Alligator mississippiensis: one gene and its partners. The main gene of each other region encodes a partner of the protein of the gene in region 4 in a complex. Links are inferred from orthologs where the notes say so. Each region holds a gene or a part of one and is shown on either strand. Other genes may lie near its edges. The genes, in order: RBMX2, SNRPG, RBM48 and E3 ubiquitin-protein ligase RNF113A.

Region 1 (7,938 bases), on a different chromosome or scaffold from region 4:
CTACCCCACCTATGTAACTTGGTTCCTGAATGAATGGGGATGAATGAGGGTGCTTGAGAAACAATGGCAGTGGGTCTAAAAATAGCTCCCCCTGAATGACTGAACCATCAACACCAATACCTGGACCAAGGACCCAGCCCTTGGAACCACCCTCAGCATTCAAGAAACAAAAGATGAGGCAACCCACCATTGTGCCAGGCTGCACATGCTCAGTAAGAACACCTGGAGCCCTCTGGAACAGGACTGGCATTGCCTGGACAGGCCCTCCCACAGGAGATCAGAAGTAGTCTGCCCCATAAAAAGGGGCAGTGAAGACTGACTCCTTGGGACGCCCTCTCCATTTGAACCAGCACCATGCCACTCACCCTGCCGGCAACCCCCCTCTGGACAACACCTACTGGACAAAGACCCCTTTCCAGCCTGGATAGGTAGCTATCATGCCCACCCTCTCTTCAACCAAGGACTTGGACCCTGCTTTTCTTCCCCACCTGGACTCCAAACCTTCCACTGAGTTTCTTGTGTGTGAACCAATAACTTCATGGGGCTGTGTAGTGTGTTGTCTGTTTAATAAACCTGTTATTTGGACCCCTGAGTTGGGTTTTGCTTTACTGTGGTTTGGCCCTGCTCCAATCTCTGCTCCTCACCCCTCTAACTTCTCTCATTTCTCCCTCTCCTGCTTCTGGCTCACTGCCACCTCCAACACCTGTCCTGAGCTCCTCTCTGCCTCCAAACCCCCTGTTTCTTTGCCACTGTCTTATCTCCACTGTCTTTTCCTTTTCCCCTGAGCAACCAGGTTTCTGCCTCAGTTTCTTTCCTGGCTGTCTCCTCCTTGCCACCACTTATCTCCCCCCCCCCACAATATCTCAGGTGTCTGCCTCAGTTTCCAGCCCCAGTCTACCTTAAGTAAACCCAAGCCTCAGTTCCTCAGCCAGCTTCTCTATAGTCCACTGGTTATAATCCTGGTTCTGGCAACTTTCACTCCCTACACTTTAATTCTCTCTCTCTCTCTCACCTGAACCTTCCCCCAAGTATCCCAGGTACCCCAAGCACACACATATACACTGTACCATCCAAATTAGGAACTTACCTGTATGTGTAGGTGGGTTGTATGTGTATGAACTGGCGAGTGTGTGTGTGTGTATATATGTCATTGTGTGCATGATATACAAATTAGTGATCTGTGTCTAACTTTTGGGGTGTATAGTATATGTACTTGGTGATAGGTATGCATGTGCCTAGGCTGGTTTGGATGTGTATGTGCCTGAGCTGGTAGTGTGCGTGTATGTACACACCTAATTGATTTGTGTGTTTGTACATGTGCAATTGTGTCACACCCTCCTGTCTAACAGCGCAATATTGAGATCCTGAGAGTTGGCCTGACCCCACAAGGCAACAGGGTCATAGGAAGCTTGCTTCTGGTGATGAGGATGGCAAGGTTTGGTGCTTGTTTAAAGGATAGGATGGGTGGTTATGAGATCTTTTTGAGAATTAGGTCTCCTTCTAGTATGGGTTGCAATTGTTTGAGAATTTTCTGTATAGGTTCGGAATTCATTCCCCCTTCCCCTCCGCCCCATTTGTCTCACCTGCTGACCAACTCAATTTATATTTTAACTCACTGGTTTTCTGAGATAAATACTGACCTCTGGCTGCTTTACCACTCCATCCAGGAAGAGCACAAACCATCTGCAGATGCTTCCTCAGCCTGGTGAAGGGGTTTGTGCCGGAAAGCTTGCTAAGAAGAATTTTTCCAGCTATGTGAGTTGGTGTAATAAAAGATATTGGATTTACCTTTACCCAAAGAACCTTGTCTGCCAACAGCGTCGTCCTTAGGGGCGGGGTCAAATCAGGGTGACCGCCCCAGAGCCCACGCTTTGGGGGGCCCTGGAGTCAGTGCCGCACAGGCCCCTCCGCGGCCGCCATGCAGCTGAGCACCCCTGGCTCTGCTGCCACCGCCTCCAGCTGCTCACCAGCCCCCCACCCGCCCAGGCTGATATGCTCTGGGCCTCACACACCACTAGGAACAGCTCTGTCTGCCCATGTCCTTAGAATAACACAGCTACAATCTACACCCCAGAAACAATAGCATGGGAACCTTGTGTACGTGGCAACAGATAGATCAGGGAGGGGAAAGGCAACACAGAGGCAAATAGCTGCTCCGCTTTCTGCTCCCTGTGCTAATTGGTTCAGAGAGGCACAAATTTTCACAGGCAACCACCTGCTTTGTCAGATGCTAGGAATGGGTTGGCAGAAAAAGTTTATACTGAAAAGAAATGGAAAAGAACAGCGGGAGGGGACACTGGTGAGGGAGGAAATATGAGGACTGGATGAATTACGATTGGGGAGACAGACAAGCTAGTTAGGGTGCTGGGGCTGTAGCTGCTTAAGGGACTTGTATACCCAGAGCCTGGTGCACTGAGGTCGACTCTGCTGTGCAGAAGCCAGGAGACTGCTCCCCTCTGAAGGGCGGAGGCCGCAGGTGAGCAACAGCGCCAGGTGGAGCCCGAGGGGGATGGACACCGGGAGCGGCCCGCAGGCACTGGGAACCTCGGGCAGTCCCCTCTTCCCGGAAGCAGCCCTCGGCCGCCCGGCCCGGCCCGGCCCCCCGCTCGCATCACGCACGTTCGTACCGACGAAGACCCAGGCGCTGTCCTTGTATTCCGCATGCCACGACACCGCCTCGCGCACGCCCAGCGCCGCCTCCCGCTCGTTCAGCTCGTTGATCAGCTTCACCTTGGTCAGGGCGCTGCGGCAGGGTGAGCGGCTCCATGTCAGGGCCCCGCATCCCGCCGCGCCCGCCCTCACCACGGAACCCTGCGGCGCCCGGCCCCGGCCCCGGCCCCTACCGCTACCCCGCCCGGCAACCACCCCAGCGCCGCCGCCGCAGCCATTACTTACTTCATGTCGATTGCTGCTGGTCACTGCGTCTGCGCCGACGTGCGTGCACATGCGCTGCACTGCTCACGCCTTGGGCTCCCTCCCGCGAGGGCTGCCTGGCCCGAGCTCTCGCGCAGCGCGGGCGGCCCCGCGGGACGGTCTCGCGTCTCGGGCGCTGGCGCCGCTGTGGCCAGACGATGGCTGCAAAACACGCCCTGGCCACCCCGCAGCGGGGCTGAGCCGCGGCCCAGGCGGCCGGGGTTAGAGACTGCCGAGGCGGGGCCGTTCCCGCCGCGCCGGACCGGGCAGCATCTGCGCCGGGCGGAGAGAAGCCGCCGCGCTGGAGCGCAGCGCCCGGCGCCGGCCGGCCGGGCCGAGGCGGGGCGCCAGGCCCCGAGGGCAGAAGCAGCGGAAGAGTCGTGAGGGGCTCGGTTTTGCGCTGACAGCGCCACACGCCACGGCCTCAAAGACACGGGGCGAGCGGGAGGGGAAGGGCGGGTTGAAGCTGTGCTTCTGAGCCCGTGCTTGCCTCTTGGGAGGAGACTGACAAGCCATAGTCTGTTTCTCAGACCCCGAGCCAGTGCTTCATACAAGACTCTGAGGCAGGGGTGGGCAAAATGCAGCCCGCCAGACCATTCTATCCGGCCCGCGGGGACCCTAAAAAAATGTAGAAAATTAATATTTATCTGCCCCGGCTACCTGTCATGTGGCCCTTGATGGCTTGCCAAAACTCAGTAAACCAAAACTGCCTGAAATAATTGCCCACTGCTGTCTAGGGTCATGTCCAGGTGAGCACATACGTGCCTGTTGAGGCGCCTCAAGGCAGTGTGAGATGCTGCGAGAGGAATGCTGGGATCAAAAAATGTTCCCCATACTGCATCTTTTCAGCACAGGCCCTAAATGTGATTCCTGGAATCCAGGGATCAAAAAAAAAAAAAAAAAAAAGGGGGGGGGGGAACAGGAGCAGGCTCTGACATCTAGCCAGAGTGTCTCTATGGCTGCCCCCTTCCCTTCAGCATGGTGGGGCAAATAGGAGCAGGGCAAGGCTGCAGTATGACCCAGATGCCATCCTAGGTAAGTAGTGATGTGGGGTGGGATGGGGAAGGTGTGGGGAGATTGGTGGTGGGGGAGGTAACTATGTGGGCCTGTTCCCACAGGGCACACAGCCATTGAGTGCTCAGGGCCTGCTGCTAGCAGAGCCCTCGGGTGCAGCACAGCCCTGGCCCCTTCAGACCCAGCGCTGCCTGTGCTGCACGTGCCTTCGGGCAGCATCAAGCCACTCTGTCTTTCACCTGGGGTCCCAGCACTGCATACAGGGGCTGGGCCAGGTCCCGTCTCCATGGAGCCAACCCAGCCTGACAGGGCACGGGGTACTTGGAGGCAGGGCCCGGCCCAGCCCAGCACAATGTACGGCCCCTGCATGCAGTGCCAGGACCCCAGGTGACAGCCAGAGCAGCCTGGTGCTGCCCAAAGGTGCACAGCACTGGGCTGGGCCTGAGTGCCCGATGGCTGCTGCAGGTTGGGACTGTGCACCCTGCAGTAAGTGGGCAGGGGACTCACCCCTCCCAAGCAGTGCCTCCCACCCCCACAAAGTCTCCCCACAAACTCCTCACCCACATACCCCAAACTCCTACACAAGCCCCATATCCATCCACAACCCCTTCCCCCCCCCCCCCCCAACAAATCTCACACCCTGTACACCCAGCCGGCCACAGAGGATGGGACAGAATCCACTGGCAGGAGCCATGGCTGCAGGGGCAACTACCACACTGCAGCCTTGCCTCGTGCCCACACCAGTGATAGGACATGTGGCCCCAGTAACTACTTAGGAGGTGTGATGGGCTGTGGGGGAAGGGGTGGAGGTGGCAGCATGGGTGTATATGAGAGAGATATATATGGGGGTCAGGGGTGAGGGAGCACTCTGGGTAGGAGAGGCCACCAGAGCTAGGCTTAGCACCCCCCTGCCCTCCTAGATCACCCTGTGCAGGGGGAGGCCAGCCTGGAAGGGAAGGGCCTTGACTAGCCCAGTCCCCGAGCCCCAGTTGAGGGATTCCCAGGAATGGCATGGGGAAGCTAGTGGGGGCAAGCAGGGACTGCAGATCAAGGAAGTGATGGGACTGTGGGGTAGGGGGCTGTGGATTAAGAGCGAGGGGCAAGGGCAGGGTCAGGGCACTGGCATATCAGTGCTGCTCAGTGCCCCACATCTTGGTGAATGCAGGGGGCAGAGGCAGCTCTGATTTTTCTACATTAAAAAAACCCAAAAGCAAATGCCAAAGTTTATAGATATTTAGAATTTCAATTATAATGATAGCGGCACTGGTAGGCTTCCAAATTGCTTTATAATTGTAAATATATCAATAAAATATTGCTCAACTAATCTCTCTATACATATTAGCATTTCATTTCAGTTGTGAAGAACACAGAATTTGGGTATTTTAATGAGAGAATTTGGGGGGGTTTAATCAGAGAATTTGCCATTTTTAAACTGGGAACAGGATTTCTGCAGGTAAGACAAGTGGCGAGACCCAGGCAGAGGAGCCTGCCCAGGGTCAGCACCAGGGACACAGCTGGAGGGCAGACGAGGTGGGTGACCTGGTCATTTGGAGCCAGGAGTGCATGCTTTGACAGTTCAAAGTGGGCCACTGCAAGGAGTACATCTGGGTGATAGCTGCCCAGGTGATAGAGCAGGAACACCAGAAGACATGATCACAGTTGGCCTGCAGGTGGCACTGCTCAGACAGCCCACTGGCAGCTGGCCCAGAAGCGCAGGAGGCTCTGCTGCGGTGCCCATACCACAGACCAGGTGGCCATGCAGTCCCCCTCTTGGTCTGGCAGGCATGCAGCCATGGGGCAGAATGCTGTCACAAGTGGCAGCAGGTCTCAGTCCCCATTGCCTGACTGCTGCAGTGGGTAGAGAGAGTGCAGGGGCCACTCTAGGTTAGGGCTGCTTCATCAGTCCAGGTGGCACAAGGGGCTAGTGTCCCCAGATACCAACTGGCTGGGTCTCAGATGCTCCCGTCTATTTGTATCTTCCAGAGATCATGGGCCTTAGGGCCCATCTAGTTAACTAATTGGCCCCACACAGTAGTGGGGGCTAAGTTTGAAAGATGCAACTGATTTTTTTTTTTTTTTTTTGGTGGGACAACCAAGGAAGAAAAGGGTAGGAGTGACGTGGGGGGGTCATAGGTTTAAAATGTGAAAAGTTCTCCGGAGGAGAACACTGAGCAGAGCCCCCCAGGCCACGCTCACTGGTCTTCAAAGGCATCCAAGGAGCCGCTGGACGCTGCCCACTGGTGCTCTGCCTGGAAACATGCACAGACAAGTGACAGAAAAGCAGCCCTGCAATCTCCAGGCACCTTGCCAGCCAGAGCTTCCTTCCTGGTCAAAAACAGGGCCCACTTGGCCAGGGTCAGGAGGAGGTTGCCCAGGAGATCCCAGGACTTGGTGAGGCCACAGATGGAGTGACCAAAAACAAAAAGGTGGGGGGTGAAATTTAACCAGAACCTCAAGAGGAGGTTCTGGAGGTGGAGGGGCTGCAGCCTTGCGCATTCAAGGGTCATGTGCACCAGGGTCTCCCTCTGCCTGCAGAAGAGGCAGGAGATGGGTGTCTGTGAAGCTCACTACATACACGCCTGTGGCAACAGCTCCATGGAGGAGCTGCCAGCTGGGGTCCTCGGTGGCTCGTGGGATGAGGGTGGAGTACAGACACCCCAGCCACGCCCTCGCCGAGCAGGTCCCACCACTTGGTGTGAGGGCAGCATGATGGACAGTGTGGTGCCCAAGAGTATAGAGGTGGACAGTGGAAAAGCGGACCAATTTGGTGTCCTCCAGCTCAGGTGGTGGAGTGGGGAGCCACTTGGGACCTGATTGACAAAGGCAAGGGTATCAGGAGGTAGGGCAGATTTCACCTGGACCAGATGGCAGGTTGTACATGTTGTGGGTAGATCCATGCCCTGGGCCAGCACAGCAGGGTCCACCCACTCCCACCTATTTTAGTCCAGGAGGTCTCCAATATGGGTGACACCAACCAGGATCAACCTCCGTCACAACTAGGGCACCTCTGCTGTTGGCACCTCCAGCTGAGCCCCTCCTCTGGAAGCCCCAACAAGCAGGTTGGCACCCTAGGTGACTTGCGGGGGACCTGGAGGCGGAGACCAGCCTCCAGGCCTGGAGGTCATGGTAGAAATCTGGTAGTCCTCGCAGGTTCTGCAGGGAGAAGCCCTGCTCACTGAGGAGCTGCCAGTCTTAACAGAGCCCCTGGAAGTGGCAGAGAAAAGCACGCCCCAGGTGGCCCCATGCCACATGGCTACCAACACTGTACAGCAATCACTGCCAGGCCTGAAGATGGAACTCCAGGCCCTGGCCAGGACCTCTGCAGTGACCCAGTTCCGTCCCAGCCAGAAGAACTCAAGCACCCATCTCTGGAGTCCCACCAGGACCTCAGCAGGCACAGGCAGGGTGTGTAAGCAGTGCCAGAGCATTGACAGGACCAGCTGGTTCAGCACCAGCACTCTCCCACACAAGGAGAGACATCTCAGGTGCCTTGCCCATTCCCAGAGCTGCTCCACCACCCTTGTCTCCAGCTGGTGCCAGTTCTCCGGCAGGGAGGGGTCTGTGGGGGACAGGTAGACCCTCAAATAGAGTAGCAAGCCTGTGCTCCAGCCAATCCTGCGGAGCTCAGGTGGGAGTGAGTCCACCTGCCACCCATCACCCACCATCAGGCCAAAGCTCTTGACCCAGTTGACCTGGGCAGTAGAGGCCGTTGAGTACAATACCTAGCAGGCCTCCACCTGTGCCAGGTCACTTGTACTCATGGTCCAGGACTCATCACCAGCATGCGCTGACACAGGACCAGCTGGTTCCCAAAGCATCAACCCCAGCACCTGCTTCCGCAGGAGAAAGAGGAAGGGCTCCAGGGCTAAGGTGTACAGCTAGCCTGACAGGGGACAGCCTTGATGCACCCCTCTCCTGAATGGGATGGGCTCCTTCAGGGTCTAGTTGAGCTTGACCAGACACTCTCCAGAGGTGTACAGCACCTGGAGAGCCTGCACAAAGCGGGGCCTG
Region 2 (7,204 bases), on a different chromosome or scaffold from region 4:
ATTACTCAAGGATAAAACGGAAGTGTTGCCAGGAGATTCAGGGCATTCACAGCAGTGGAAGCCATTTACATGCTGCCGGTCAGGCTCAACACAGAATCCTGATCCCCCAGAGCAAGAAGGGCAAGGACTACCACAGAGGAGCTGGGTCTGATTCCCTGGACCAGGTTGGTGGCCTTTGGAGGCTTACAGCAGCATTAGCGGCTGCCTCTGATGCAGGGCTATGTGGGTAATTCTGAATTTGGGGATCTTACCAAAGAAGGAAAGCCAGGTGCAAAGAGATGATCACCAGCAGACAGAAAGATGAAGATGACAAAACAGGAGCATCTATTGACTGGATGCGTACTTGTGAGCATCTGGTCAGGGGAGATGCTGTTCTATTGACTTATTTTGTCCCATCCTGTGACTACCTGTGCTGAACACGACTGTCGTCTTGTCCTTTTCAAAACTGACTTGTTTTCTAAAATATGATTAAAAATAAATTTTGAGGAAACTCTGCTATTGAAAAAAGATGATCACTGCCGTGCTGTGAGATGGACTTGATTTTTGTCTTCTTTTATTAGAGAGGGAGAGGCTTTTTGTGGGCACTGTCTTTGATATGACTAATGGGCATGGTTGGGATAGTCTTTATGCCACATTCAAAAGATTATCTCAGGCTGTCTGTCCCAGCTATGCTGTTGGTCCAATAAAGCAGTGGTTCCCAACCTTTTTAAACTGTGGACCGGAAGTGACCACGGACCAGCATACTGCAGTCTGGAAGTGACTGGCATACGGTGGACCGGTAGCCCACCCTTTTTTACACTAAGTATAAAAAAGGGTTGGCTGCTGGTCTGCAGTATGCTTGTCACTTCTGGACTTTCGGTCCAGCAGCCAACCTTCATGCGGACTGGCAGCCAACCCTTTGTGGCCCAGTACTAGGCCAGGGCCTGGGGCTTGGGAACCTCTGCAATAAAGGACATCACCTACAAAAATCCTTGTTGTGTTTCCTGGGCTCCAACACGACCATTTTATTTTGTTGGCTTCCTGGTATTACTTCTTCATTCTGTATTAGAGCCCACGGGCTTCACAGGGAACACTCAAAACAACTCTTACATTCTGCTTTGGAACCAAAGAGCAACATAACTGTTATTGGTATCAGTCCTCATGTTTGTTATGAATCACAGAAAATTCAGGTTGGGAGGGACCTCAGGAGATCATCTAGTCCGTCCCCCTGCTCAAAGCAGGACCATCCCCGACTAGGTCATCCGAGCCAAGGCTTTGTCTGCCAGGGTCTTAAAAACCTCTGAGGATGGAGATTCTTACCACCTGTCTGAGTAGCCTGTTCTAGTGCTTTTACTACCCTCCCAGTGAAAATGTTTTTACTCGTATCCAACCTAAACTTCCCTGTTGCAACTTGAGACCATTGCTTCTTGTTCTGTCATCTGCCACCACTGAGAAGAGTTTATCTTGGGGGTGGGCAATTATTTGGGTCTGAGGGCCACTTAGGGAGTTTTGGTGAGCTGTTGTAGGTTGGGTAAGCACCCCGCACCCCACCTCCCTCCACACCACAGCACATCAAACCTCTCCAAGTGGATCTGCTCCACACTCAGCTGGGTGGCTGGGATGGTGCTGCAGGTGAGCAGGGAGCGGCATTCAGGAGCAGGATGGGCAGGCAGGGCTGGGATCTTGTGATGACAGTGCAGGGTTGGGGTCTGGGACAGCTGCAATCTGCTGCACACACTTCCCTGTGACAGGTGCCAGTTCTGTGGGCAGGGGAGTATGGAGAGTGCATTGCAGCTCTGCCCCAGGCCCTATACTATCACCACCCTGTGATCCTGGTCCCACCCACCCATCCAGTTCCCAGACACTGCTTCCCACCTGCCTGCAGCCCCATCCCATCTGCATGGCCACATGCCCTGCCTGAGTGGTGGCCGGCTACTGCGCTGCCCCAGCTTTTGTGTGCACCCAGGGGCGATGGGACTGGCTGCATGTTCCAAGGCCTAGCCCAGTGGTTCACAACCGTTTTTGTATCAAGACTCATTTGTAAACATCAGTGGTTAGTCCTGATCCAATGCCTCCTAGACCCAGTGTGGGGCAAGGGACCCCAAGCAGGCTGGAACTCTGCCAGCCTGAGAGGGAAAAGCCAGTTTTCCATGTATTTTCCCCACCCCGGTCTAGTCAGGGAACTTCTGGAGGGATTGGACTATAAATCAGCAGGTCCTGATGATCTCCACCCCAGAGTGCTGAGGGAATTGGCAGAGGTCATTGCAGGACTCTGGCACAGCTTTACAAGCACTCGTGGTGCTCTGGTGTGGTGCCAGAGGACTGGAAAAGGGCCAATGTGGTTCCCATTTTCAAAAATGGGAGGAAGGAGAACCCAGGGAACTATAGGCCAGTTAGTCTTACTTCGGTCCTGGGTAAGCTTTTTGGGAGAATTATCCTGGCACATGTCTGCGAGGGGCCAGCAGAGGAGATTATGCTTAGGAGCAACCAACATGGGTTTATTGGAGGCAGGTGCTGTCAGACCAACCTGGTGGCCTTCTATGACCAAGTCACAAAATCCTTAGACGCAGGTGTCACGGTGGACATAGTCTTTCTGGACTTTAGGAGGGCCTTCAACACCGCCTCTCACCCCATTGTCATTAAAAAACTAGGAGACTGTGGCATCTATACCTACAGAGTCAGATGGGTCACTAATTGGCTGGAGGGTCGCACCCAGAGAGTGGTGGTGGACGGGTCTTATTTGATCTGGAGGGATGTGGGCAGTGGGGTTCCCCAGGGCTCAGTCCTCGGGCCCGCACCATTCAACATCTTCATCAGCGACTTGGACGCGGGTGTAAAAAGCACCCTGTTCAAATTTGCAGACGACACTAAGATGTTGGGAGAAGTGGGCACGCTAGAAGGGAGGAATAGGCTGCAATCGGACCTAGACAGGTTGCAGGGGTGGGCGGATGAGAACAGGATGGGTTTCAACACTGACAAGTGCAAGGTGCTGCACCTGGGGAGGAAGAACCAGCAGCATACCTACAGGCTGGGGAACTCCCTTCTCATCAGTGCAGAGGCAGAAAAGGATCTTGGAGTCATTATTGATGCTAAAATGAACATGGGCTGACAGTGTGGGGACGCAGTCAGGGAGGCCAACCGCACCTTGTCATGCATCCACAGATGAACCTTAAGCAGGTCCAGGGAGGCGATCCTCCCACTCTGTGCGGCACTGGTCAGGCTGCAGCTGGAGTACTGCATCCAGTTCTGGGCGCCGCACTTCAGAAGGGATGTGGCCAATATGGAGAGGGTCCAGAGGAAGGCCACCTGCATGGTCAGGGGGCAGCAGGGCAGGCTCTACGAGGAGAGGCTACGGGACCTGAACCTGTTCAGCCTCCACAAGAGAAGGCTGAGGGGGGACCTGGTGGCTGTTTACAAACTAGTCAGAGGAGACCAGCAGGCACTGGGGGAGTCCCTGTTCCCCCGAGCACTCCCAGGAGTGACTAGAAATAACGGTCACAAGCTGGCAGAGGGTAGATTCAGACTAGATATCAGGAGGCGCTACTTCACTGTCAGGGTGGCTAGGACCTGGAACCAACTTCCAAGAGAAGTGGTGCTGGCTCCTACTCTGGGGGTCTTTAAGAGAACACCCTGCCAGGGTCGTTTGCCCCCAGTGCTCTTTCCTGCCACGGCAGGGGGTCGGACTTGATGATCTGCTCAGGTCCCTTCCGACCCGACCAACGATGAAACCACGCCCCGTCAGGATGTGCATTCAGCAGCATTGCAGCTACCTCGTGCTTTGAGTTTTGAATGTTCTCACGGCCTCTACTCAAGGGATTATAGGGGGGTTGTGGCCCACCCTGACAGGCCTGATTGGTACTTATTGGCTCCACTAGAGTTCCCACCCAACGTCGCGATCGGCCGCTGGCGCGGGTGTCATGCGCGAGGCAGATTTACTTCGTGATAAGAAGCAAAGTTCTTTGAGGCATTTAATCAAAACACCTCTTTTCTCACAAAATCCATTGCATCAGACTAGCAATTCTCAGCCGGGGCGCTGAGCCACCCTCTGGTGCCACCAGATCCTGTGAAGGGTGCCACAAACAAATAAGTCATGGCCAGGCTTGTCCCTGCCTGAACGACCCTACACCCCCGCTTCTCTGTGTTAGGAGCTGAACACTGTAATATCTATATTGGCCGCGGGTCAGCCGGGGGGGCGGGGCGGGGCGGGGCGGGGCCGGCGGCGGAGGGGTGTGGTTTGCATCCCCGCCCCGTCCTCCCAGGCTGCAGCGCGGCGCGGCGCCATTGGCGGTGAGGTGCGTTCCCCTTCGCCCTTTCGGCGCGAAATCCCGGCTCTCCTCACGCGGCGCTGGCGGGACCCGAGCTCAGGCACCAGCTGCAGCCTCCGGCGGTACGTGGGCGCGGATGCGGCTGCGGGCGCCGCCGCTTCCCCGCGGGCCGGGGCCGCACTGGCAATGGCAGCGTATGCTGTTCCCGGCGGGGGCCGGCACGTGGGGTTTCAGCGTTGTCCCAAGTAACGCCTCGATGTAGCCATGGGCCTTCTCTGGACATGGCGGAGCAGCCGAGATGCCTTGCTTTTCAGCTTGCCTTTAGGGGAAAGTCACAGCTCGGTTTTCAGTTCCTGTCTTACAAAGCTTTCACCTTACACTGCGCGACTTCCTGACTTATCAGAAGTGTGTGTGTGTGTGTGTGTGTGGCAGGGGTAGCATCTATGGGTGAACACCTTGATAGCTGGCTGACTTGCACACTTAAATGGTGTTTCTCAGGCTATTAATGAGATATTCCCCAAGTCAGGTTTAGCTACTGGGCCTGTCATATTTTTTCACTCCATCTCGAACAAGAAAGCTGTGGTTATTTTGCAGGAACGCACACCGTTCCTGTGGCTAACGACAAGCTACGGTTCACAGTGGACAAATGCAGTTTTCTTATGCGCTTATACATTTTTGCTGTTTCTCTTTTGTAGTTTTCACTCGATCCTGTCTGATTGCTGTTTCGAAATGCAGCGTAAAGTGCTTTATATTAGTATATAGTTTACAATGTAAATGTTTTTTTATGTTTTTTTTTTCCTTCAGTAGAGCAACCATTTCTGAGTGTGAGGCAGTTGTGGTGGCACCGAGGGAGCAGGCACCATGAGCAAAGCGCACCCGCCTGAGCTCAAGAAGTGAGTGGAGGATGGGAGCGGGGTGGAAGAGAACTCCGTATTCTTGCATCCCCCTGCATCCTGGCATGCACCTTGTTCTGGCCTGCGGCTCCTGCCCACCAAGGCTTCCCCACCCCACATGGTCCCCCAGCCCTGCTGAGCATGTGGTTCCCCTCCCATGTGGCTCTATGTACTGGGGTCCTGCTCTCCCTCCACCCCTCACCTTTCCTTTGCTAGGGGAAGCCAGGCCCCCAGTAGCTGTTGGGATAACAGCAGGGCAGCTGGGGCTTCAAGCCTCCTGGGTTCATGGTGTGGAGGGAGGGGGTAACTGGTGGCAGGGGCATGTCTGGGAGGGAGGGGGTGTCTGGTGGAATATGTTGTCTGGGGAGTGGGGTACACCAAGGGGAGGCAAAATGGCTGATTCAGCCAGCAGCTGGACTCCCATTTCCCAGCAGCTGCTGCCTGCATGGCTGGGGCCAGTCTCCATGGAGACCTCAGCTATGGTTGTGCTGTGAAATCTCCAGGCTGGGGTTGCCGTGGAGACCAGGCCCGGGCTAGTGTCAGAGCAGGGCAGGGGGCTGTTCCAGAGCCCCTGGGATTGTGCGGCAAGGGCAGCTTGCTCTGGAGCCAGGGCAGAGCCACGATCTGTAGCCTGCATACTCTGGGCAGGGGTGTGCAGGCTAGGGATCGTGGCTCTGCGCTGTCTCCAGAGCAAGCTACCACTATGGGAAGATCCCAGTGGCTGTGGGACAGCTCCCTGCCCTGCTTTGCCAGGAGCCCTGCCAGTGTGGCTGTGGCTGGTCTCCATGGAGACCGTCCCCAACCGTGCTGGGAAATGGAGTTCGCTGCTGACTGGATCTGGCCTGCGGGCCAGACTTTGCCCATCCCTGACCTAGACTGTGCAGGGAACAGGGGTCGGTTGCCTGCCCTGGGTCAGTGCCCCAAACTAGGAATGGCCTCTTGGCAGTGTGAAGAAATTGTGGCCCCTCTGGAGGGTTACAAGCCAGGGCAAAGGGGATGGAGTGAGCTCATGGGTGTCTCCTGGTCTAGCGCAGAGGGTATTGGGCTCTTCCCATGTCTTGGGCTCAGAGATGTCCCTTGTGGGGAGGGGTGAATTGGGGCAACTGCCCCGGACCCCACGCTTTGGGGGGCCCTGTGTCAACGGCTCTGTCCACATGCTGAGGGTGCAACCACTCCACACACCACCGGCTTTACGCTCCGGCCACTCGCCACCCACCCGCATACACAGGCCCTGCCCAGGCTCTGCCTGGGCTGGGTACAGAGGGCAGAAGCAGTGGCCAGTGGAGGCTCCAGAGTGAGCAGCCAAGGGACCAGCTGGGCTGTGTTGGTGCAGCCCCTGCTCGCTCCTCTGCAGCTCATGTTGGTGACACCCCTGATCTAGAGTAATTTTTTTCAGTCCAGATCTGTGAATAACGGCTGACGGCTTCTTCTCTGTTTTTTTTCATTGCAGGTTCATGGACAAAAAACTGTCATGTGAGTTATTTCTATCACTTCTGAGGTCCTGCTTTTTAGACATCTGTGTAGCAATGCTTTGCATGTTGGTTCCAGTCAGCAGCCTTCCCTGGGTGCTGTCTTCCCATGGGAGTTGCAGGGGAATGTACTGTGCTGTGAGAGAGAGCTAACAGAAGTGAGGGTCTTTGAGGATGTGGTCCTATTGCTGTATTGCTCATTGCTGTAAAAGACACAGGCAAATACAGAATAAAAAGACAGTCTCTCTCCATAGTGTTCCTAATCTAAGTGGAGGAATGAAAGGCAGTGGTGCCATAAATCTGGTCAGCATGAAAAAGGGGTGACTTGATTCCTGCATTTTGAAGAGTATCATGATTGAATTAGCAGTTCAGAGTTTGCTAATGTTGGCTGCCTTTCTGAAAATGATGCTGCATTTCAGTACATGAAGTTGTAGGGTGGCAAAATGCTTCCTGTTATTGGTGATTCTTTACTTCTACAGTGTAGTGAAGCTTTTTAATTTTTTTTCAAGCTACAATGACTTCAGCGGTATTTTGTGCTTCATTTGCAAAGCTAACATTTCCATCCAAAAAGCCATGCAACTGTCTGCCACTGTGTGTT
Region 3 (7,659 bases), on a different chromosome or scaffold from region 4:
CAAAAATTGACAATTTTTTTAGAGGTGCACTGATAAAGATTTTGGGGGCTGATACCTATAGCCAATTTTTAAGGAGGTATGTCAGCCGATACCGATCCGATTTCCGATACAGCTGCATCCAGATGGGGAGGGGACAGGCGGAAGGGGCATGTGGGGGCAGATCAATGCCCCCCCGCGGTGAGGGAGGAAGTGGGGCTGGGGTACGTACTGCCCAGCCAGGGTAGGGTGGGCACAGGACGGAGCTGCAGCTTGTCAGGGGGCGGAGGGGGGTTGGGGAAGGGGAGCAGCTCAGGCTGCAGCTGTGGGCTGAGGCCTGCACCAGGCTCCTCCTGGTGGGTGGGGGGTTGGGTCACACTGTGCTTGAGGCAGGTTGCGGCACTGGCAGGGGGCTCCAGCCACCCCAAATTTCTCTGTAGCCCCCATACCCCTCCCTCCCAGCGCCGCCACTGCATATCCACCGAGTGCAGCCCAGCCCAGCCCTCCCTGCGGCCCATGGCCCTAGCCTGCAACTGCAGCCTGCTTTGTTCCACCCTGATACAGGGGGCACACGTCCCGCCCGCCATGCCCTCCACCACAATAGACTTACCAGCTGCACACAGCTCTCCAAGCTGTCGGGCTGTGCTCCTCACTGCCTGCATGCTGTGCTGCAGCTGCACGCACACATGGGCATTTGTCAACCAGCAGAAGCGGCAGCGGAGCCGTATGCCACTCAGGACTGACAGGTGCAGGCAGGGGGAAATGCAGCTGAGCCCCTGCCACTCCAGCCAAGCTCGTCCCATCCCGAGTGGCACATGGCTCTGCTGCCGCTTCTGCTGGCTGGTGCAGACCCGGCCGGGCTCCTCCCATCCCCAGCAGCACATGGGAACCTGGCTTCAGCCGCATGCTGCTCCAGGTGGGATGGACCCAGCCACCGGCCAGAAAAAGCAGCATGCAGCTGAAGCTAGCTTCCCACATGCTACTGGGGATGGGAGGAGCCCGGCTGGGACAGCACCGGCCAGCAGAAACGGCGGCAGAGCCGTGTGTCGCTCAGGACGGGACGAGCCCGGCTGGAGCAACAGGGGTTCAGATGCATTTCCCCCCTGCCTGCGCCTGCCAGTCCCGAGCGGCACACAGCTCCGCAGCCACTTCTGCTGGCTGGTGCCAACCCGGCCGGGCTCCTCCCATCCCCAGTGGCACATGGGAAGCCAGCTTCAGCTGCGTGCTGCTCCAGATGGGACAGACCCGCCTGGGTCAGCACCAACCAGCAGAAGTGGCGGCGGAGCCATGTGCCACTCCAGACTGACCAGCGCAGGTAGGGGGAAAGTGCAGCTGAGCCCCTGCTCCTCTGGCTGGGCTCATCCTGAGGTTCATTTCATGTTTGTAAAATGCTTGGAGAGCCCCACATAGACGCACTGCATAGAAGTGAAAAATAAATTTTAACTTATTTGGTTGGCACCTTGGGCTGAGATTTTCAAAGCTGAGTCAAAAGGCCAACTTCCATTAAAATTAATGGGATTTAGAGGGCTCCAAATCTTTTATGACAACTTTGTAACATGCCTATCTACCCCTTTTTGCAAATCTCAGCCATAGTTTGGAAACTCAGCCAAAGAACATAAGAGCTTCTGAACATAAGAGCATAAAAAGCACCATGCGTGGTCAGCCCCATGGTCCATCTAGCTCAATATCCTGCCCCAAACAGTGGCAGAGGTGGATGCTATAGAGGGAGAGTTTTGAACTGGTTATTTAAACCTATTTCATTGTCACTTCCTGCAACTTCATTGGTGTCAAAGGTCACGTGATATCACTTCCTGATGTGATACCACTTCCTGTGAGGTCTTTGAATATGGCTTGCCAGCCCACTGGGTGATAAAAAGTTTGTGATCCGGCCCCACATTCAAAAAGGTTGGACCACCCCTGTTTTATATTGTACAAAGGTTGACAACCTATAGTCCACAAACCAGATTCAGCCTGCAAGATTTTATCTGGCCTGCCAAAAACCAGCTGCCTGCTCATTGCTCGCCTCCTTTCCCTCCCCCTGGGCTCCCACACAGCAGATCTCTGCAGACCCTCTGATCCCACATTTCCCAAGGAGGAATGAGCCAAGCACACAGAAAACTCACGCCAGCTGCTTCTGCAACATGTAGCCAAGGGGCAGGCATCTCCTAGAAGCCCTGGCAGGCAGCCTGCCCGCAAACAGCTTAGGCAGTAGCATGCCATGCAGCACATGCCATGTCTTGGGCAAGTTGAGGTAACTGTCCTGACTCCAGTGGGCAATGGCTGGTCAAATTAAGGAGTTATGACTCCCTGGCTGCATTCATTTGTGTTGCTGTCAGCAAAAGGCTACCAATTCCTGGTAGAGCTCACTGCAACCCTAAGAAGTCACTGTTCTGGCCAATTAAAGTGGTGTTGACAAAGAAAGAGTCCCAAATCTTTCTTGTAATAGGGCTGGAGTTTTGTTGCAGCCATGACAGTCCAGGAAAGGTGTGAAAAGTAACATGGGTTTTCGGTTGACATCTTCTATCGGACTAACCATATAGCTGGAAATGTCAGAGGCTTTCCTACACAGAGACTTCTGGATCACCTGAAGGGTGCGCCATGCCCAAAAGTTCATCTAACACCTGCCAGCCATACAGTGAGTGCAATAAGAGAGCACCAGGCCGGAAACTGGGGGGGGGGGAAGGGTGGCGCGAATCCACCCGCGTCCTCTCCCTTCCCAGCCCGTCGCCGCCGCTGCCCGAAGGGCGGCGCTATGGGGCGTTGCGCATGCGCAACCCAGGTTGACCCGCGCACCGCCGCTCCCACCTTCACGGCGCGCGGCCGGCGGCCCTCGCGGTACTTGGCGCGCGAGGCGCAGACGTCCCGCTGAGCGTGATGCCCGCACGCGCCCCCGACCTCGGCGCCCGTCGCCGCCGCCATCTTCCGCCTCTACCCTCCCCTCCTGCGCCGGGCGGCTTGCCAACAGCAGCCAATCAGGGAAGGGTGGAGCTATTGATTTCCCTTCATTGGCTCTGGGGGGAATCGTCATCAGGCCGGAGGAGACCTGCCGCATCACCGGACTGGAGTGAGAGCCAATGAAAGAGAGGGAGCGAGTGGGAGGCGCAACCCCATTGGCCTGCGATGGGCCGTACCAATGTGTGCGGGCGGGGAGGGGTGCGGCTTGCTAGAGACCTGGACTTCGTCGTCTACCAGCGGACGGGGGAGCTGCGCGTAGCGTCAACCCCGAGAGTTCGGTCCGGCCCGGCCCGGCCCAGGCCGCCTGCAGCGGAGCGGGGCCGCCAGCATGTGGGGCAGCGGCGGCCCCGGCGGCGCAGCGGTGACCGTCGCCGTGTGCGGCAGCCGGGACTGCTTCCTGCACCTGCCCGCGGCGTTGGCCGCCCGCCTCCGCCTGCAGCAGGTACGGGTCGGCTCAATCCGCGGCCTGCGGGGGCGGACCTCGGCAGGGATTGTGGGATACGCGCAGTCCGCCCCAGCTGCCATGGTGACAGCAGCGCTCCCTCACCTCGTGACGTCACTGCCCGCCGGGCTCCCGCGGGTGTGGGGCACGGGCACCAGCCCCGCCGCAGGATCTGGCCCCGCAGCCTCCGCCCAGCCCCCGGGGGCGGGAGGTCGTGGCCGGGGGGACGAGGATTATTATAGTTGTACGATACTTTCGTCCCTTGTAGGATGTGAGATGGGTAATAGTCCAAGTGCTCAACATGTACGATCAGTTTTGAACTGCAGAACTCGAGAACTCTTGGTTCCGAGGTGATACCTCAACCATTCTCTTGCGATTTCTTAGTTGTTCTAATAAAAGGTGTCATCTCTGAACCGAGTTCTCGAGTTTTGCATTTCTTTTTGTCTCAGACCAGCATAGCTACCTGATACATCCCTGATCACTTTTGAGACAGTTGATGCAGCATATGCCAAGCCCAGGCCCCTCTCAGAGAGTCTTATCTAGGATTACCATATTTCCTGTTTCAAAAAAGAGGATGCCTGTCGGGGGGGCAGTGATATGCCTGTGCCCTGGTTCTGCCCCTCACTCACAACCCACAGTCCCCCTCCCTCAGACCATGTTGCTGTTCCTCAGTCCCAACCCACAGCTCCCCCCACCCTGTCCCGGCTGATGCCCCTCACTCCTGACTCGCAGTCCCCTGGCACTGTCTGTTCCCTGCAGTCCTGACCCACAGTCCCTTGTTCTCCCCCCCACCATGTCCCTCACTCCCAGCCTGCAGCCCCCTATCCCCCGCCCTGCTGGGATCCTCTCACTTTCAACCTGCAGCCCCCTTACCCCCCACCCCTCCAGCCCTACCACTTTCCCTCACTCCAGACCCACAGCACCCTGGCTGGCCCCATAGCTCCCTGCTGCCCCTTCCCCTCTCCCTTCCACTGCTGGAGCAGCAGGCATCTCCCCTGTCCTTTGCAGCCCAGTGCCAGGGACAGCTTCAGTGCTGAACAGAGCAAAATCCCAAATCCCAGACATTGTTGATATTTAGAAAAACCATCTAGACAGAGATGGGAGGACTCAAAAAGAGGACATGTCCAGAAAAAAACAGATGTATGGTAACTCTAGTCTTAACTGACTTTTGGGTTTGCTGTCAGCAATTTCTTATGGCAGCTTGCCTTGAAATAAAGAAAGGCTTCAACTTTGATGACCCAGTTGTCACTCACTGGTGATTTACAGTGAGCAATATAAAGTAAATACAAAGAAGACTTGTTTGCATATTTTTTCAGTGTACGTTAGTTTTTTTCAGCAAATATGATAATTTTTGAGCTTCCAATACAGTAATTTTGTATCTAAAGACAATGTTGCCAAGCACTGCTGCTATAGGTAGAGACTTGTACCTGAAGAGAGTCCAGTTCAGTGTAGGATGTAGCCCCTTCCCCTCCCTGTAGAATACAAGAAGGTTGCAGGGAAAATGCAGCATACACTGTCAAGGTCTGGACAAACCCTTTGTGTCACCCACAGATATTAATAATAGGAAAACATTTCAAGGAAAAGATGCGATTCAATTTCCTCACAAGATTAAAGGGACGAGGAGACTCATTCAAGAGTCGATTATATATAAAAAAAAAAAAAAAAAAAAAAGTGTGTGCACTTTTGCTAGAAAGCAGCATCAGTAACCTTGAAATAAATCTTCTTAACATTTTCCTGTTTTCAGCAAAATTCCCCAAGTCCAGAAGAAAACAGTCATGGGAATGGAACCGGTCCATTTCAATCCAAATGTTTTTTCACACTGCTAAGTAAAAGGAGTGGGAGGGGATGAGGGCTGTGTTGTAGAGCTGTGTATTACAGGAACTCTAACTGCTGGCTTTGTCCTTTCTAAACTGAACCAAGCCAGCTGGTACGAGTTCAGAAAACTTTCTATGAAAATAGCAGGAGGAAATGGTGGGGGGTTTGGTTTTTTTGCTTTTTTCTAAGTCCCGCAATTCCAACCTGAATGGAGTTGACCATTTTGGTCACTTGCTTTCTCAGCCAGCCAGCAAATTGTGTGTAGGAAAGCATAACAGAGGAGATGCAAAATGAAACCTTGTTGGACAAAATGCATCATGTTTTTCATCATTTAAAGTGGAATCTATCAGACACAGGATAAATAAAACAAAAAAAATCTATCTGACAATAAAGTGAATGTAGGAGGTTGATTTAAAAAAAAAAAAACTAGGCTTCATTTTTCAGTTAAGCCATCTGATATGGGCCAGGATTACTACTTTCGATTAATTTTTTTGTCCCAAGGAACTGTACGTATATTTCTATTTAATGCAGTTAATGGACCAAATAAGTTCACCGGGACAAATGATAAGTATACAGTACACACCCACGCGCACACACCCGTAAAACAAAGTCTAAACAGACAGATTTTTAGACAAAGAATTTGAAGAAAGAAATAAAGTTAAAAGGTTGTTAGGAAGAAGGAATATACAAGAGACATTGTGGAATGTTTGGGTGGTACAGAACTCATTTCCTGATATGTTCTAAACATTGTTCTGTGAGTAAAGATGGGCTAAGAGGATATGTTTGAGGGAAGATTGAGAGGCTGTGTGACATGCAGGAAGGATCATGTTGGACAGTCCAAGGAATAGAAAGCATAGGAATTGGTATGGGGGCATGCTTGTGGGAGTAAAAGAAAAACTGGAGTTGAGAGGCAGGATTGACAGAGCCACAAGGCAGTCATAAAGAAGATGTAACAGTGGCACTTTAGATCAATTTTTATTGGCTACACATTGTTGTACTTTTCTCTCTTCCTTTTCAGATAGTTGCTGCCTCTTCTGTGTTTTACTTGGGCCTTTCCTAGTTTTTAGCATCAGTAGCTTGATAACCCTTTACAAATGTTTCATTTATTTAGACTGAAGCCTGCCTCTGGATGTGCAGTAGTATGTAGCTGCTTAAGTTAGTCTTAAAACTGTGTCTTTGAGTTCCATGATATCTTTAAAGATATTGTGCCTCCAAGGAAAATGAGTGGCTGTGGAATGGTTGGCTGGACTGTAGTATGGCAGAGGATATGAAGGTTACAGTAAACCGGAAGCTGAATACAAGCCAAAAGCGTGCTCTTGTTGCCAAAAAAACCTAAAAGCATACTGGGTTGTGTTAACAGGAGTGTCACTTGCAAACCAAGGGAAGTGGTTTTTATGCTGTAATTAGCACTGGTGAGGCCTCACCTGGAATACTGCATCCTGTTCTGAGCTCTGCACTTCAAGAAGGACATGGACAGATTGGAAAGAGTCTGGTAGAGAGCACCAAAAATTATTAGCCGTCTGGGAAGTAAGACTTACAAAGAAAGGCTGACAGGGCCAGAGGTATTTAGTCTGGAGAAGAGAAGACTGAGAGCGGGATTTAATAACAGTCTTCAAATACCAGTTTGAAAGTACTTGTGCTGTCCTAAAGAGCTATTATAGAGGGTAGAGATGGGCTTTTCTCTGTGACTGTAGGGGACAGAACTAGGAGCAATGGATTCAGACCTCACCAGGTGAGATTTAGGAACTTTTTGACTATGAGGGTGGTCAAGCATTGGAACAGGCTACCTAGAAAAATTGTGGAACCTCTATCCTTGGGAAGTTTTCAAAAGTCAATTAGACCAACACTTGGCTGGGCTGCTTTAGTCAGGGAAGATCCCACCTTGAGCACAGGGCTGAGGGAAGAGACTTTGTGAGGCCCCTTCTAGCACTACTTTCCTATGATACCTCCATTCCCATAAATGTAGGTTTCACATTTTTCTTTACATTATTTCTTCTAATCACATGTGGTTGCTCTTTGGAATTATGATAGCCGTCAATTTATGACAGCCTTCAAATTTCCTCATGTGAATACCCTTACTGAACCTAATGGAAAATTTGTCACAGACACCAAGTTTATCGTTATTCAAGAACACTTTGATGTACATGTTTAAGTCTCATTGATCCCCAATAGTAGGGCAAGACTGAAGGACATGCCTATGTTCTTTTCTTAATTGAAGCCAGATATTTCATGGACATGCTTAATTCATTCTGTCTCATTTTCGGTTGATATATAATATTAAAAGATCAGTGTTTTGAAAACACCACTAGAAATTAAGATTAAATGAATAGAAATGAAGAAATAAAAACATTTTTAAAACTGTAAGAAAAAGAATTTTGAGAGAGCCTCTTGACTCAAGAATCTTGGTAACTTTTACCAAAAGGAACGTTTTCTGAAGTCTACTGAAAATGGCTTAAACTCCCTTTGCTGAA
Region 4 (6,865 bases):
TGTCCACAGCCCATCCTACCACCATATTCTGAAGCCAGCCTCAACACAGAAACAATAAGGACACTGAAGAGGCCCTTACAATCACCTCCTGGTGTTATTTAACCCAGATCGAATTGATCTATCTTTGTGTCATGTGGTACACTCAAGGCCAGGCAGTGAAACAAGATACAGCTGCTTGGATTTCCAACATCACAGGAAGTTATACATTTCATTACGCATTTGAGAAGAGTTGTGTCTAATGTAAGGACTTGTAACCTCTCCACCACCCTCTGTTTTCAGTTGCGTGATTAGGCCACTGGAGGATGCCTAGGTTCTGTTTCCCATTCTTCCACCAACTGGTTACACAATCCTCGGACAGTTACTTTGTCTCTCTGTGCCTCAGTTTCCCCATTAGTAGAGCAGGAATAAAATTACCATTCCCCCTTGTGAAGGGCTCAAACAGGAAGAGTTGCCTGGAGGGGCAAGGCACTAGCTTCCGACTCAGGTCACCTGGCTCCAAGCTCCTGGTTCATTGCCAACCTCCTGTGTGACCCTGGGCAAGTCACTCATCCTGGAAGGGCCTCAGCTTCCCTTGTGTAAATCCTGCCCTGCCTCACAGGACCATCGCAAGGATGACTCCATTAAAGGCTATCAGACACTCTGGCCCTGCAAGGCTGGGAAAGCTCTCGAAGAGGCGAACACACAAGAGAAGCACTCAACAGAGCCATAAAACCAGGGCATGGGACCAGGATAAAGCAACCAAAATTCCCATTCAGGGCAAGAGTGTCTCCAGTAGCTCTCCTGAGGATGCCCAGTTTTATACTCTGCCAGAGGGCAGACAAGGTGACCAGCTAGCTCCTTTGGGCTCTACTGAACCTACAGCCATGCCCCCTTCAAACGTAAGCACTGTACTCTCCTCACCGCTGATCGTGTTGATTTGTAAGCGACTCCGACACCTTGCGATGCCTCCTCATCGCTGCTGCTGTTCGACCCATATGAGGTCTTCTCCTTTACGCTTCTCTGGGTCTGCAGGGGGAGAGAAAAACACTGAAAATTTAATACTGGGAAATGGAACACAACACCCAGACACAAGAGGCCCTCCTCCCACGGGGGAGGCCATCCCTAATGAGCTGACTCCATGCTGGCTACAGACAGAACTATAGCCCAGGGAGGCAAATTAATGAAACTTTGGGCACTCAGGTCTCATCAGGATCAGGCTCTGCACAAATCACTAAACTATCACTAAACTGTGGAAAGGAAGCAAGTAGCACAACAGTGGGAAAGGGGAGCATTCTAGTTACAGATACCAGGATCACACCTCCACACCACATGCATACATGGGTCCTCTCTCTCAAGTGAAAGACCTTTGCATAATAGTATCTAGAACTCAGGCTCGCAACTCGTGGAGTACGCAGATACTGCAAATACAGCAGTTCAGGCTACAGTGCACCTGGTTTGGGGACAGGGAAGTGGGCACAGAGCAGTATGACATGTCTAATGGCGTCACTGTTTGGCCCAATATAAGGACACCCTTACATCTAAGACGAGCTGCTAGAAGGGTGGCCTCCTTGAGGACACAGAGACATGAGATGTAAAGCTGCAGTAGACCAACACTGCCTGAAAAATGACCCAGGCTCCTAAAGATGCCCAGGGCGATTCTGAACAAGAAAGGCCGAAACATGGAAGAAAAGGAGGAAAACCTTTGTGCAGCCCCCAGTGCCCTTCCTCGGCCGTAGGCCACCATCAGCTACTGGTGGTAGGAGGTAGTTCATAGACCAGCGAGCAAGGGGCAATGCAGTCACAGTGCCCGAACCCTCAACCCCGGCCCATCCCGCCTGTTCCATCACAGGAACAAATGACAGGTTTGCTTCAGATCCAAGGGGTGTGCTTGCCAAGCCAAAGGCTTGTGCGTCCCTCTGTTTACTTCCCACCCCAGCCAGTGCAGCGATCCAGGGGCTAACGTCACCCGCACACGTGAACCGAGTTCTGTCACGAGTGCAACTGTGGCATCTGCCCCGCGCCGGACTGGGACATTTGGGGTCACGTGAGACACCCAAGGCCTGCAGCTACTGTGTGTGGCTCCCCACCCGCGCAGCTGCACACCCCCCGCTGAGGCCTCTGCTCCCTCAGATGTCTGAGGACTAAAAGACAAGCCACGCGAGGGCAGGGAGCAGTGGCTGCAGACAGCCGCAGCGAGGGCCAGGGTGAGCCGGCTGATGTCAGCTCCCGCCTGTGCACGAGGGAAAAGCCCCCAAGTGCCGTGGTGCCCAGCTCTTCCCTGGGGCTTTTCACAGTCCTGGGTGGGGCTGGGCCAGCTGGCAAGATGCCCCGTGCCTGCACCGCGGCGCGGGCAGCCATTACCTTCTGGACCATGGGGTTGGGGGCATCCCGGCGCCGCTCCTTGCGCACCACTGCGCTGCCCTCATCGCTGCTGCTCCCTGTGGGCAAAGCGGCCATCAGGTGTCAAGCCAGCCCGAGCGGGCCGCCCTGCTGTCCCAGGCTCGGGGGGCATCATGGCCAGGCGCCACCACTCCCAGCCCTGCTGGAGTCCCCACCCCTGCGCTCAGTGGCTCAGTCCAGACCCCCCCCCCCCGCAGTGAGAATGGGATGTCCCAGAACCACCTGCCTTCAAGCGAGGACGGCCCCAGAGAGTATGGTACAGCCCAAAATCCCCTCCCCAGTGGCAGGGGCACAGCCCAGAACGCGCCACCGCTCGGTGGTGATGGTATGGTCCGCACCGCCAATGATAATGGCACAGCTTAGGAACCCCTCCTCCCCCCGCCTGCAGTGGGACAGTCCGAACGCCCTCCTCCCGGGGTGGGCCCGCAGCCAGAGCCCGGCGCTGGCAGTGGTACGGCCCGCCCCCCCTGGCGGAGTGGTGCCGGCCGCGGCCCCTCACCCGCCTCCTGGTCGCTGCCCGGCCGCTTGCGCCGGCCCCTGCCGGCTGCCGGCCCGCGCCGCCGGAACACGAAGCTGCAGACCGGAGCCTCGTCTGCCATCTTCCCGGCCGGGGCGAAGAGTGGGGCCGCCGGACAAGCGGGCGGAAGCGGCCGCCGCGGCAGCGCCCCCGCGCGGCGAGGAGGAGGGGCGGCCCGAGGCAGGGCGGGGCGGGGTGCGGGCGCCCCCTGGTGGGAGGAGGGGAGCCGGCGCCCGCCCGCAGGGTGCGGCCTGGTCCCGCGGGCAGGCCCCGCTGGGAGGCTGCGGGGAGACAGACGTCCAATTGCGGCCGGAGTCGGGGCTGCCCTCAGCGGGCCGTGGCACAGCGCTGTCCCCTGCAGCCCCGCAGGGTTTTCTTTTGATAAAGCGCTGTTGGAAATTTCTGTTTCCATCAACCCCACTGATTGCAGAGGATTTGGGGACTTAGCGCCCAGCTCTCAGCTGCCCAAGCACCTCTCCGCTCCAGTCACTTTCAGCCGCAGCTCCGAAATGTTCGTTAACCCTCTCACTTTAGTGCTGGAAACCCCCGAGGTGGGGAGAAGCGTCGGGGCCACATAAGGTGCCAGGAGCAGCCGGGAAATGGACATCGCAGCGATGGAGACTCGGGGACTCTTAGCAGCAGGGAGATCTCCCCGCAGCTGCATGCTTGTAAGGTGGCCCTCAGCTCAGGGTGTTTGTGGGGCTGGAGGAGGCAGGGAAGGCAGGCAGGTGCGTGAGTCAGGGGAAGCAGGGTGTATCCCCCTGCCCCTCCATTCCCTCAAGCTCGTCCAGGCTCTGCTGTTTCAGCCTGCACTAGTCGAGTCGGCCCCTTGCTCATCGCCATAGCAACAAGTAGCAGAGCTGAGTGTGTGTCTGGAGTGTAACTGGATGCTGTGAGGACTGCTGTGGAGGAATGGGTCATGCTGAGGCTAGGAGGGTGGGTCCCGTGCCCTGAATTGCCCAGGGGCATGGGACGTAATGCTGGGGCTGCCCTGCATCCCCTGTCTGGGAGAAGAGACTTTAAGGGGGCTGATTTGCCTGCACCTTGTGCTGTCATTTCCACCAATGCCGGAGGAGTGCAAAGCAGTTTGCACCCTGTCTTGCACAGATGGAAATGCTGACCCACAGTGAAGGGCAGCAGAGACCCTGGCTGAAGGACGCTGCTCCTGGACTCCCTGATCTGGCTCCTGCTGGATGACCATCAGCATCTGCTGCCACTAGCAGCAGGGGGTCTCTGAAAAGACCCACTGCATTTTTCTCATCGGGTTCCTTCTGCAAAACTCTCCCCTCACATGATGGTGGGGTGGGGAGAGGACATTGTCACACCCTGGGGAAGGTGTGTTGCTGCTTCTCATTTTTTGCACTGTCAGTGAGAGGGTGGAGGAGGTGTCTCCTTTCTCAACTCCCAATGTCACACACATCCTGGATGTCTTCATGGAACAGAGGCCAGGGATGGGAAGGGTGGCCAAGGGGCAAGGACGCAGCCCTGGCACTTTGGAGTGCTAGGTTTAATTCCCTCCACTGCCACAGGCTCCCAGTGTGACCTTGGGCAAGTCACTTAGCCTCTCTGTGCCTCAGTCTCCATTTTGAGAAATGGGGATATTATTACTGCCTTATCTCCCAGGGGATTGCATGCATAAGTGTGTTAGTGGTGTGCTCAAATGGAAGATTATAGGGCCAGATAAGCACCATGGATAGAGCCAGCCTCCTAATTTTGTAGCTGTTTTCTGTTTCTCCTGTAGGATTGTCCCTAACTGGTTATTATGACCTACCATCTGGGTGGTGGTCCAGTTGTACCTCTGCAGGTTACAGGACACCTCTTTGAAAGCCAGCATTGCAGTCCAACTTCCCATGACCTCAGCTGCTGGGCATTATTTTTTCTGTTCTGGATGCCGAGGCACATGTTGATTTTAACTCCTTCAGGTTAATTGCCTTTGACTCAGGATACTTAGATGTTGATATTTTCTTTTGATGTTCTGCCCATGAGTTTCTGAACTTATGCCCCAAAAAGCATTTTGAGGCATGTTGTGATATTAAAACAGTGTTAAGGACTGACCCACTCTATATCCACTGCTTTTTATTTTTAAGTCAAAAAGAAAATCCCAGCCCCATTAAAACAATGAAGGATCCAGGATGAAGCCAGGATGTCATCTCAAGTCCTTTGCTGTTTTTACCGACTTTCCTGCTGATCTATTTGGCTTTAAGCTCAGGCCTTGACATAATGTACTTGAACCAATACATCCCAGAGAATCCTTGAAATGACCCCTTGGGAATTCTAGGCCCTTTTCTTATCTCTTATGGGAAATCCCATAGTGAGCAAACCACAGTTTGTAATGTGTTATTGCTAGTTACTTGGTATGTTTTGCAACTGTTCAATTAAAAAAAATGAGTTGTCCACCAGCAAGAGGCTCAGAATGATACCTTTTTAAGTTTCTGGTAATTTTGCACCAGCCTTGCACCAGGGACTACCAAGAATCTTATCTGATTTCTGGGATTCTTTGCATCATGTGTTGTAGTTCTGTTGTAATCTTCACCTTCTCTCCCAGGGCCTTCTTGAGCTCTCTTCTCACACTTGTTACCACCTGCAAAGGCACTGTGTATTATGCAAAGCTCGCCTACTCTCTCACTTTCAGGTGGCTGTTACAGTGACACCTAGTTAACCAAGGCATTTGAGTCTGTATTTGCTTAGCTGTATCTAATTTTACAGTCCAAACACATTCAGCTTTTACTTCCCATCAGTGGTGATGTTCTTTACATGCCACATGTATCTTTGGCAATACAGTGGAAATCTAGGGACACAGTACATTGCTTTGGTATCCTAATCCAGGAAACACCTCCATAAATTCTTTGAGAATGCTTATTCATTTTGTTCTGTAGACATATCACTTACTCATTAGGTCTTCTGTAGTTGCAAGCCCTTCTGGCATCCTGCACCACATTTTCAAGCTGTTTTGAGTGGTGGCTGACTTCATGGGGAAGTATCAGTGTCTCCCTGCTACATTTGGTATCTTGTTTTAGGAAGGAAACTCAGCTTTTATCTTAATATGTTTGTTTGTTTGTGCTTTGGTGTGCTGATTGCTAATCACTTTATAAACACGAGCTGTGACTTGGCTGTACTCACCTCCAAAGTCTACTTTAAAATTCATGCTTTGTTCAGTTCTCTCCAGGGGAACTATGGGGGAATTTGCTTTGCAAATTTATGAAGGATCCCAGCGAGGAACTGTTTCTGTGGTGTCATTATTGCATTATGGTCCTAATGGGTTTTCCCCCTGCTCCTGAGCAATCTTTGGGATTTGGTCAGAGTCCCAATTTCCTCATCTAGCACCTGGCTTCTCCTTTGAATTATGGAGTTTCTTCCTCTCTTCCGTCATTTCAGCCAGCTTCCCTCATCTTCAGGTGGTTCCAGAAGGACCTGATTGCTATGAAACATACCCCTTTTATCCTCTCTCCTGCCCATGAATCCCTCTGAATTTTTAGATTCTAGCACCGCACTGGGTGGGTTTTTTGTCCAGTTTCTAGGGCAACTCAGTTCCTTCAGATTTCCACCCTTCTGCAGAGAAGTTGGAAGCAATGGACTTAGCTGAGATTACATTTCTTTTTTGGTTTTCCCAAGCAAGATCTATTAAGCTGCTCATAGTCTTTAAGGATCAAACTATTCATGAGTAGGCAGACAGGCACCTCTCCCTGTCATTGGAGCACAAGAACATGAGGTAGTGCAAAAGGAGAGAAGGTCATAATACAAAAGACCACAGGCTATGTAGAAATTCAAAATCATAAGCTGCATATGGATCCCCAAATTGTCGCAGTTATTTCAGCTCCTCAAGAGCTGAGGAAGCACAGGAGAGAGGGATCCTGTCCCCCTCCCCTTTCTGCTGACTGGGAGGGGAGCTGTGTTAGACACCTTCTCAGAGCCTGAGGAAGGGAGCATCTCTCTTGCCCCCTGAGGAGAAGGGGTTCCTTGGGGACAATG

Evidence for each region.
Region 1: E3 ubiquitin-protein ligase RNF113A (region 4) and RBMX2 share a complex: the UniProt entries of both Homo sapiens proteins name them as parts of the minor spliceosome. The link is inferred for Alligator mississippiensis from reciprocal best matches to the Homo sapiens genes RNF113A and RBMX2.
Region 2: E3 ubiquitin-protein ligase RNF113A (region 4) and SNRPG share a complex: the UniProt entries of both Homo sapiens proteins name them as parts of the minor spliceosome. The link is inferred for Alligator mississippiensis from reciprocal best matches to the Homo sapiens genes RNF113A and SNRPG.
Region 3: E3 ubiquitin-protein ligase RNF113A (region 4) and RBM48 share a complex: the UniProt entries of both Homo sapiens proteins name them as parts of the minor spliceosome. The link is inferred for Alligator mississippiensis from reciprocal best matches to the Homo sapiens genes RNF113A and RBM48.

Annotation. Positions count from the first base shown.
Region 1 is NC_081831.1:40,215,125-40,223,062, reverse strand, and holds the start of RBMX2 (RNA-binding motif protein, X-linked 2), read right to left. Parts: upstream 3,009-7,938; 5' UTR 2,947-3,008; coding exon 2,896-2,946; intron 2,744-2,895; coding exon 2,620-2,743; intron 1-2,619. UniProt on the Homo sapiens protein: Involved in pre-mRNA splicing as component of the activated spliceosome. As a component of the minor spliceosome, involved in the splicing of U12-type introns in pre-mRNAs.
Region 2 is NC_081830.1:13,249,203-13,256,406, forward strand, and holds the start of SNRPG (small nuclear ribonucleoprotein G), read left to right. Parts: upstream 1-4,193; 5' UTR 4,194-4,271; intron 4,272-4,277; exon of another isoform or gene 4,278-4,366; intron 4,367-5,048; 5' UTR 5,049-5,105; coding exon 5,106-5,137; intron 5,138-6,587; coding exon 6,588-6,610; intron 6,611-7,204. UniProt on the Homo sapiens protein: Plays a role in pre-mRNA splicing as a core component of the spliceosomal U1, U2, U4 and U5 small nuclear ribonucleoproteins (snRNPs), the building blocks of the spliceosome.
Region 3 is NC_081828.1:175,536,478-175,544,136, forward strand, and holds the start of RBM48 (RNA-binding protein 48), read right to left. Parts: upstream 3,011-7,659; 5' UTR 2,896-3,010; coding exon 2,782-2,895; intron 367-2,781; exon of another isoform or gene 1-366. Other genes in the region: peroxisomal ATPase PEX1, read left to right, coding at 3,260-3,373. UniProt on the Homo sapiens protein: As a component of the minor spliceosome, involved in the splicing of U12-type introns in pre-mRNAs.
Region 4 is NC_081827.1:158,642,906-158,649,770, reverse strand, and holds the start of E3 ubiquitin-protein ligase RNF113A, read right to left. Parts: upstream 3,008-6,865; 5' UTR 2,979-3,007; coding exon 2,879-2,978; intron 2,418-2,878; coding exon 2,341-2,417; intron 1,006-2,340; coding exon 901-1,005; intron 1-900. Other genes in the region: LIMD2 (LIM domain-containing protein 2), read left to right, coding at 3,496-3,564. UniProt on the Homo sapiens protein: Required for pre-mRNA splicing as component of the spliceosome. As a component of the minor spliceosome, involved in the splicing of U12-type introns in pre-mRNAs. E3 ubiquitin-protein ligase that catalyzes the transfer of ubiquitin onto target proteins.